2 linked regions of the Caenorhabditis elegans genome follow. The protein of the gene in region 1 purifies or fractionates together with the protein of each later gene. This does not show direct contact. Each region holds a gene or a part of one and is shown in the gene's direction. Other genes may lie near its edges.

Evidence for each region.
Region 2: the proteins of Y39G8B.10 (region 1) and Y116F11B.6 fractionate together in Caenorhabditis elegans (co-fractionation; one large-scale study listed by BioGRID). This does not show direct contact.

Annotation. Positions count from the first base shown.
Region 1 is NC_003280.10:13,981,267-13,985,068, reverse strand, and holds Y39G8B.10 (ShKT domain-containing protein), read left to right. Parts: upstream 1-1,953; 5' UTR 1,954-2,021; coding exon of another isoform or gene 2,022-2,054; 5' UTR 2,055-2,059; coding exon 2,060-2,139; intron 2,140-2,181; coding exon 2,182-2,367; intron 2,368-2,799; coding exon 2,800-2,956; 3' UTR 2,957-3,021; downstream 3,022-3,802. Other genes in the region: sre-47 (Serpentine Receptor, class E (Epsilon)), read left to right, coding at 418-703, 743-1,101, 1,199-1,672; Y39G8B.9 (ShKT domain-containing protein), read right to left, coding at 3,319-3,511, 3,566-3,693.
Region 2 is NC_003283.11:19,842,113-19,848,256, reverse strand, and holds Y116F11B.6 (BZIP domain-containing protein), read left to right. Parts: upstream 1-2,279; coding exon 2,280-2,489; intron 2,490-2,780; coding exon 2,781-2,844; intron 2,845-2,953; coding exon 2,954-3,019; intron 3,020-3,065; coding exon 3,066-3,124; intron 3,125-3,664; coding exon 3,665-4,054; intron 4,055-5,302; coding exon 5,303-5,410; intron 5,411-5,454; coding exon 5,455-5,625; downstream 5,626-6,144.

The DNA of each region.
Region 1 (3,802 bases):
AGATTGACAGACGAAAAATAGATTGTTACACGAAAAAATAGATTGTTACACGAAAAATAGATTGACAGACGAAGAAATAGATTGACAGACGAAAATAGATTGACAGACGAAAAATAGATTGACAGACGAACTATTTTAACTATTTTTAGTCCGTCAATCTATTTTTCGTCTGTCAATCTATTCTTTTGTCTGACAATCTATTTTTCGTTTGCTTTCGTTTGAAAAAGAAACCCTAAAATAATGTCCGGTATTCGGTAATTTTGGGAATTTTCAAAGTTGCTCAGTCCTGGGCTAAAGTAATTAATCATGATCAGTCTTTCAGCTCTGAGCTATCAAACCAATCCGAGCAAGCAGGTGTCATTTTTCAGGCAAACAAATTTGTCACAAATGCATAACGTTGCCTTTTTCCATTCCCCAATGATTTTCCTAATCGCAAATCTTACTACAATCTGCTGGCCGATATACATTCTGCAGAATTTTAAACTCGTAGAATTTCCTGGTCTTCTACTTTCAGTTTTGGATTTTCTCCTATTTTTCCTGACTTTTTATTTTGCATTTCGATGTGCTTATTTGCTCGTTAAAGTGAGAGTTTTTCACAAGAACTTGTCAGTTTTGGCGGTTTTATTGATTTTTCAATGGTTGGAAGTATTGATCGGGAAGATTATTAGTTGGCCGTATGAGACGGGGTATTGGACGCTGGAAGGTAAGGGAAAACATCTGGTTGGAAAAATTTTTTGTTCAGAATTAACAGAAAAATCTTTATTGAACTCAACTATGCAGCAATGGTGGACTGAAAACCCATCAGAAATGATAAAAGTGGACAGTTTCAACCATGATGTTTTATTTTTCATCGCTGGATTTTTGAAAATACACTTTGGGCTTTCCATGTCGAATATTCTTCTGATAGTGTCTGTAGAAAGATCCTGTGCCAGTTATTTCCTAGAGGATTATGAGAACAAATCGAGAACTTGGATCGCTTTACTGATAATTTTTTTCAGTCAAACTTTTACTATGATATTTTCAATTGTGTTCTTTTTCAATTATCTGTCATATGTGTTTGGTATTAGTATCATTGCAATTTCGAATATTGGTGCTGTGATGGTAAGTTCTAAATAAATTAATAAACTAGCGGCTGACACCTTCCGGGCCCGCCAAGCGTCGGCTGCAGCACAAAGTCTTATTTTCTTTTTTCTTCTAGCTAATGCTCTACTCCCGCCACTACAACCAAAAAATCACGAAAATCCACGAAGACTACGCCCATCAATCCAACTACACCCTTGCAGCGAGATTTCAGGCCAAAGAGAACATGAAGTGTTTTGAAATGATCTGGAAAATCGTAATATTCGCACTTTGTATCGGAATTGTCGGTTTTGCTACAGCTCTATCCTTATATTTCCATATTCTACCAGAATTGGACACCATGCTTAACCTTGTCATGCAGGCTATGATAAACCTGCCGCCGTTGGTAGTGTGTCCTGCTATCATCTATTCCGTGGAGTCTTTCAGGAGCTATCACTTTTTGTCGGTTACTTATTTTTGGGAGAAGCTGAAAGTCGGGCACGGGGCTGTGGATATGATGCCGGTGCAGAAAAAAAGTTTTTCGGTGAAACACGATGAAATTCGGAAGGAAACGGAGACTTATTTTAATCAGCTGGCGGCGTCTTGGATTTGAAATAAAGATTTCTGTACACTTTCTTAGATTGTTCTGTGATCGAGTTAGCCCGTCCAATTTACAAAATAGAAAAAATGTATTCAAAAACGTCACAGTTACTTTTAATATATTGTTACTTCTACCTTTCAAACAATTTCGGTGAATCTGTTGACTGTGACAATTACAAAACCCAAATAATTTTATCAAAACTTTTTTTTTGTTGAAATTCTTCATGTAATCAAACATTACTCTACACACACCCCACCGCTTATCACTCTTGAAGAACAAAGGGATTACAAAATGAGTATGGCAGCTGATAATGCACGTTTTTGTGCTCAACTTTACTATGTTCTATATTTTACAACACTTTTTGCAACTCTATAATCTAACTCTACGGCTCTGAAAATTATGAAGTTCTTCATACTAGCATTTCTTGTATTGTGCTCACAAATTGATGCGGCCGACGAGTGTAAGGATACCAGTGATAAGTGAGTTTGGGAACCAAGATATATGAAGTAGTCCATTTTCAGATGCTCAGGGTGGGCTAAAAATGGCTTCTGCACAAATTGCTTCTACACTTGTGAGCAGCGAGAGCAGTATTGCGCAAAAACTTGTGAATACTGTGCTGGACAGAAGACTTGTGAAAATTGTACGGTGACAACGACAACGCCACCACCATCGGCTGTGACGATCAAGTGCGAGGACTATGGGGATTTGTAAGTTTAGGCGTAATCCGTTGTAGGTCTTGGGGGTGTTGGAGTTTCCGGATGTCTTAAAGGCCTTGGAGGTCCTTGGAGGTCTCGGAGGTCTCAGAGATGTTGGAGATCTTGGTGGTCTCGGATGTCATGGGGCCCTTGGAGATCTCGGAGGTCTCGGAAAGCGTCGAGGTCTCGAAGATCTTCGAGCTCTCGGAGGTCTCGGAGGTATCAGAGGTCACAGAGATCTCGGAGGTCTCGAAGGTGTGTGAGGTCCTGGAGACCTCGGAGGCCTTCCAGTTCCCGGAGGTCATCAAGGTTCTGGAGGGCTTAGACGTCTCGGAAGCCTCGGATGTCCTTAAGGTCATGGAGGTCTCGGAGATCCCGGAGCTCTCGGGGGGTCTCGGAAACTAATCCAATCTTCTCCTCACCACAATTCCTATAATTTTCCAGCTGCCACGCTTGGGCGAAGAATGGATTCTGCAACAACGACTGGTACAAATGTTCGGATCGCATCAAGTACTGCCCAAAGACATGCGGATATTGTTCCCCCGGATCTTGCAAGGATGGTAATGCGGCGAATCAATTTTTAAGCCTCGATGACTTGTAATCCCTTGAATTTTTGATATAATGTGTATTTAAACTCTATGATGAATAAGACTATTGTTATCTATAAGGTGTTGATTATGAGTTCAAATGCTCACTGACTGAATGAAGGGGGAAAAATGATGATTTTGCAGTGCAATCTGCCTCATTTCGTAACGACAAGTAATTTCCGACCGTCGACCTTCAGCCAGCCTAGTGGTGCACTCCACGACTGGATTATCTGGCCGGCTGGGGCATGACTTACACTAGAGCTCAGTTGGAGCACCACCAGTCAGTCTGACTCCCAGATTCGCAGTGCATAGAGCTTTTTGAAAGAAAATTTAGATCGTATACAATTGAGAGTTATTTATTCAAATCAAAAACACATCATTGCCGATTCAACATTTCAATTTCTTCCTTAGAAAGCTCTTTCATTATCCGTGGCGCTTGTGTCAAGCACTGCTCATTGCATACATAATCCGGATGGCAGAATCCACAGGTACGTTCGCAGTAGTGCTTGCGTTGAGCACATGTCCATTGGCAATTTGTGCAGAATCCGTTGCGAGCCCAGTTTACGCAGCTGGAAGGTATGGAATAAGGAAATTTCAATCAAAATTCCACAAATAAAACTCACTTTGGTCCAAGATCCTTAGCTGTTGCACAGGTATCCACGTCAGGCTTTTGGAGGAGCTTCTCCAGAAGATTTTGTGGTTTGGCGAGAGCCACGGCAATCACCAGGCATAGAACAATAAGATACTTCATTATTTGAGTCTACGAAGAAGAGTCAATTTCACCAATTTATACTATCAGTTTGTGCTTCAAAAGGCGGCGCCCAGTTTTGTACCAAGCGATAAGAAGATTAGAAACTATT
Region 2 (6,144 bases), on another chromosome or scaffold:
CTAGGATTAAAAAAACGAAAACTTTTTTAACGTCTCTGCGTCTCTTTTTTTTTGCAATACTATCTCGTTTTCGTCTGTTAAAAGTAGAGAAACTATCTAAAAAAGTAGTTTTCTGAAAAAGTAAAACATAAACCAAAATGAAAATGTTAGAAATTGGTATATCGATATTTGTGAACACCCTGAACATGTTATTCGAAAATATTTTCTGCGGTTTTTGAGAAATTATTGGCGATACAGTTTCAAATAGGATATTTGGCATCAGGGATGTAATTTGTGGAATCTAATATCTAAAATTCAGAATTGTTGTTTATCAGTGACTTTGAACTGTATTCTACCTAGGAATACTGAAATAATTTCGAAAATCCGACTTTGTAAGCTTAAAGTTGGAAGTTCCAAAATATTTCTTTCTGGAGCCAGCCATGGCTCACTGGAATTTCTAGAGTTGTTGATAGTACTACTATGAACTCCTCAAACTGTGTATTTTCACATTGGAAGAGGATTCGCAGACGGAACTGAGCTGGCTTTAGAAAAAATGGTTCAGACAAGTCAGTATTTAACTGAAAATGTTGAAATTCCAAATGTCTAATTTAAATGGCCATGTGCAGAACCAAAATTAGCAAAAACGAAATTTCTTTTAACTAAAAAGTTTATAATTCAAGAGAAAAATAGGAGTGTTGTATGTTTCAAGGAATAGTTTGATGCCATGTTTAGAGTAGATCCTATATACGATGCTGGAGTTTCTTAGTCACTTATTTGGGTTTTTGTGCATATGTAGTACTGTCTTTTCATACCTTTTTGGCCGTGGCTGCACATATGTATACAGTTTACTTCCAAAACGTTCCTATAGTTTTTAATTTTCAAATGATACGCATTTATTGTTTGAGAGTTTTCGGTTGATTTTCGAGAAAGGTTTGGCAGAAATTCTTAAAATTTGACAACACTCTTTTTCAAAGTTGTGTTGTATTTTTCGAATATATTTTCAAATTGCTGATTCATTAGGACATTTGAAAGAAAACATTTATTTTCCCATCTGTCGTTGTTTGTTTTGTTTCGTTCAAAGGAGTTATCAATTTTCAAAAAAAAAGCGCTAATTCGCGTTTAAAAAACACATAAACCCTTATCAGCTATGATTTCCTCATCGCTTCGTCTCTATCTCCGTTTTTGCGGATGGACTACACTGATGACGATAGGGTTCCCATCAGGGGTGTGCGGATAACCGATTTTTAAAAAACCGGCTAACGGATAATTCGGCTAAACCCAATGAGTGAAATCGGCTAATTTTCGGCAAATTCGGCTAACTCGGAAAATATTCGGCTAACGGATAATTCGGTTAATATTAGCCGAGTTAGTCTAATCAGCCCATCGGCGAATTCGACTAAACCGGCTATTACCCGCATACCCCTGGCTCCCATCCGGCGAAAGATAGAAGGCATTTCCGTTCCCTCCTGTCATTGCTTGTTCTGTTTTGTTGTATAACGAGTTATCAATTTTCTAAAAAAAAATAGCGATAATTGGCGTTTTCAGAAAATAGATAAACGCCCTCGTCAGCTATCATTTCCTCACCTCTCCGCCTCTATCTTTGCCTACTATCAGTCAATTAAAATTGAAAATTAAATTCTCGGCTCTGTTATCTATGTAATGTTACACTTCTTCCCCTGTCGACGTTACTTCATTTGCACACATTCAGAATCTTCATTTCACCAAACATGGCGTTTTTAGAAAATAGATAAACGCCTTCGTCGGCTATCATTTCCTCACCGCTATACCTCTATCTCCATATTTGCTCAGCCAATTAAAATTGAATATTGCATTCCTGCCTCTGTTATCTAAAAAATGCAGCCTTCCACATTTGACGTGACTTCCTTTGCCCACATTCAGAATCTTCATTTCACCAAACATGTGCCGCGTTTCATTGCACTGATAAGCACATTGGGCTCCAAGTTAGTTGTTTGCGTACCCAGCATTTAATTTGACGACACATTTTTTTGTTGCCTTTTTCAGTGTTTAACTCGAAATTCGTGTTTTCATTCGATAAAAAATGAAAGTCGTTTTGAAAGCCCAAAAACTCCTCTTGAATTTTTTTCCTGAATTTTTGAGAAAAAACATTTCTAAATATTGATGCGAACATTTGCAAACTGTTAAAAACATATAAAATCACTTTTCCTGCAAATATCCTGAAATTCAGATTGCCTTCCCTCGTTAAAACTTCTGATTTCTTGTATAAAGCTCCCTCACGGTTAAGTTCAATTTCTTAATTTTCAGAACTTTTTGTTTCATCCATGCTTCCTCAACTATCAAGTCACGTGCAAGGATCTGCACAAAACCAACAACTAATCCATTTTGATGAACTGGCTGCATTCCTTGAAAGCTCTGCGCAAGCTCCTCACATTTTGAACGGTCTTCAGGCAGGGGACAAGCCACACTACCCTGGACCAGTACCAATTTTTTATGACAACAATTGCAACTATGACGAAGTTTTCCAGCAACAGGTTAGTTAAAGGTGGAATACCTTAAACCCGAAACAATCGATAAATATCAGATTTCGTAATGAGACGTTCACAAAATTTCTCCAAAAAAAACAAGAAAATTTACTACCGCAAGTTCTGACTTTGTCGAATTGGTAAAATGCGAGATTTTAGCTTTTTTTCAAAATTTTGTACCGCTATAACTTCTTTTGAAAATTGTTATTACGAAATTTAATAGCTTCACGCCATTTTGGGCCTGAAAATCAAAGTTCGGCTAGATTCTGATTCCAAAATCTCAAAATGGGTTTTTTTCAGAACTCACAAGAATTATTCCCTCTAATTCGCGATGGCGGTTTACACAACTCGAACATGAACAAAGGTATATTTTTTAGAGTAGTCGCTTGATCTTCAGTATTAGCAACAACAGTATTTGGAGATCAAGTACCTTTTATTCAATTTTTAAATTTTTCAATAAAATTTAATTTAAGAGAACCATTTCGAAGATTCATGGATGCCGATGGCACCAATAACCGAAAATGAAAATGTTTCATATGGTGAGTAATATTTTTTAAACCTTTTTCCGCAATTTAACGTTTATAGGCATCAACCAAGATGATAAAATGTCACAAGCAGCACAGTCCAATATCCCATCAGGAAAGGTAAATTTTCAGGCTTTTTTGGCACTTAGACACTTTTTTAATGACCGCATTCACTTAAAGGTGAAGTACCGAAATCTGGGAAATATTTTCAAATGACTCCAAAACAGTAAAATGTTAAAAAAAAATTTTTTTTGGAAAAAATCGAAAAAACACAATATTTTCAATTTCTCGATTATCTGCAAAATCGGAAAATCGAAAAAAAAATTTATAAATGAACAATAAAATTCTATGTCGATCAAATTTTGTTTATGTTGATGAAAAAAATAAGAAAACATAACTTTCTTCAACATAAATATCGAAAATTCAACAAACAAAAAACTTTGGTTTATCTTAGTTGAAAATCGAAAAATCGACCCCCAATTCGGAAAACGCAACTTTTTTACTCCTTGGTAAATCCTGTATTAGATGTTATTCGTTTACTTGGTTAGTTCAAAATTTTGAGTTTTTAAAGTGTTTCCAGCTGAGAAATTGTACTTCAGATGGTTGCTAAATCGGAATTGGAAACAGTGGATTCTTTTAATTTAAAAATACAATTTCCAGGCTAAAACAAAACGAGAGAGAAACAGAATTGCCGCTGCAAAGTCTCGACGTCTGGAAAAAGAATTAATGAGAAAAACGCAAGCAATTTACGAGACGAAAAAGATTACCCACGAACAATTGTGTGCATACAACAATTCAAATGATTCGCTTTTCAAAACAGCGGTTGAGTCGGTTTTACACCCCTGTATCAATAATAACGAGATTATTCGAAATTATCAAGAAGTTAACGGGTGTTTGGAACACTTTGAAAATGATAAAATTCGTATCATTGAGGACGTTGAGAACATTAAGAAGCAGGATGTTAAACTGAAAAAAATCGAGAAAAATCTGAAAGAATCTAGAAAAGAGCTGAAAGAGGCACACCAAGAATATTTGAACAGGAAGGAACTGGTGAGCATTTTTTTTGTAAAATTGTTTATATTCAACTATGTCTTATTGCAAACCACTAAAGACAAAATACGGTCAATGAGGAAATAATTAAAACCACTCTTATGGAACTAAAGTCAGCATTTCGAAAAAATTTTACTAAAAAATCTCTACACGTTTAACCCATGAACTTTTCACAAGTTTTTGAGTGGTCAATCAAAAAAATATTTTTAATCCATTTTCATCGTTTAATTGTGCTTAACGGACCAAAAATGAGCTAAAATAAGCGAATTTCGTAGTAATGGTTTAAAATTTTGTAAAAATTACAATGATTTTAGCATAAATCTCGAATTTTGGTCACTTTTTTGTGTTAAAATAGGAAAAAAAGTAGAATTTCATGAATTGTCTCATTTAGTCTCGTTTTATACATCTAAAGCCGAAAGGTAAGGAAAATAACCAAAATTGGTTACCTATCGGCTTTCAATAAACTTTTAGGGTACTTGTGTATTACCTGCCCTCATTTTTTTAATAACTTTTAAAGTTAAAAACAATGAAAACGTGTACCACATTTTCGTATTTCTAGGCTTAGGAAATAACCTTTTGTAAGCCTGAAGAGGAAAAATGTATATCACATTTATTTTAATTGGAGAAATTAATGAAAATTTAATTTAATTTCAAAATGTGGGCATGTAATACACAAGTACCACTTTAAGAAACGAAAGTGAATGAGATAAACTACCAAAATATGTCATAAAGAATGATAATTCCAAATTAGTCCATTTTGGGCAGATGCGATACAGAAAAACAAGCAAAATTTGAGATTTGTAATTTTTTCGAAGTTTTGAACCGCCAAAAAAATTTGTGCAAGCTCAGTTTTCACTGCTTTCTGACTCGAAACATCAAATTCTCTGATTTTTTCAGAAGTTTCATTAGGATATTAAATAATTTTTGAATACAAATTTAAAAAAAAACATTACCCCTGAACTATATTTAGTCCCATTCTTGTTTTCCCTTCTTGTACACTTAATTATTTTCCTTTCTTTTTTAAAATTAAACATTAGGCTCTGCGTTCTAATTCATTCATTTTATGACCCAACTCGATTAAAAAATACAATACTATGGAATTCAGTTTTGTCCCAATTGGCTCTAGTCCATCTTTCTCAACTAGTCAAGCATTCTGAAGTACCAAATTGATCGTTTTTTGTTTTTTATTGTGTGATACTCTAGAATTAAATACTATTTTGATTAGTTCACTTAAGAAGCAGTTTTCAGGCTAAAAAAGGAAACAAGAGGGAAGGAACATACATGAGCCATTGGTCTCGTACGAAGACAAAAACAAATCTATTGGAGAAAAAATTCAATACGCGGGTATTGGAATTTGTAAGTGAATTCTCAAATCCTCAAAAATATATAACATTTTTCAGGAGATATGGAAACAACAAAGAATTGCTACCCGCTTCAAGGAGTTCTGGGACGCGTTTGATTCGGATCTTAGATTTCTAGTTAGAAACTACGGATATTTTTTACGGGCTAGAGCACATGACAACGACAAATTACGTGAACTCTTACTTCTATTCCAAAAATATCCATCGTAGTCGAAAAATTGAAAATACACACCTAATTAAAAATTCATCATACGTAATTGAAATATACACATTTTATATTCCTTTGATAAAATCCTTAATCTTAAAGGTGGAGTAGCGCCAGTGGGGAAGTTGTTAAAAACCACTCCTTTGGTCCCAAAATGACCAAATATCATGATAAGACTTGTCAAAAAAAATTTTGAAAAATTTTCATTTACTGTCAAAAAGTGGCAATTACTCAGTTTTTGCCACTCATAATTATGGAAATCGACCAAAAAAAAAATTTTTTTTTCGACGTTTTTATACTTTAATTATGTTTAAATTAATTGTATTAAAACATTGTAGGGGTCGGAGCATGCGAAATTTCTTTAAATTTCCTCAAAAGCACATATTTTTCAAAATTTTGCCAATTTGCCAAAACTTTGACCGGAAATTATGAAATTTTTTAATTTTTTGGAGTGTTTTATTTTGATATTTGGTTGTTTTGGATCATTATTAGTGCATTATAGCAAAATCCCCACTGGCGCTACT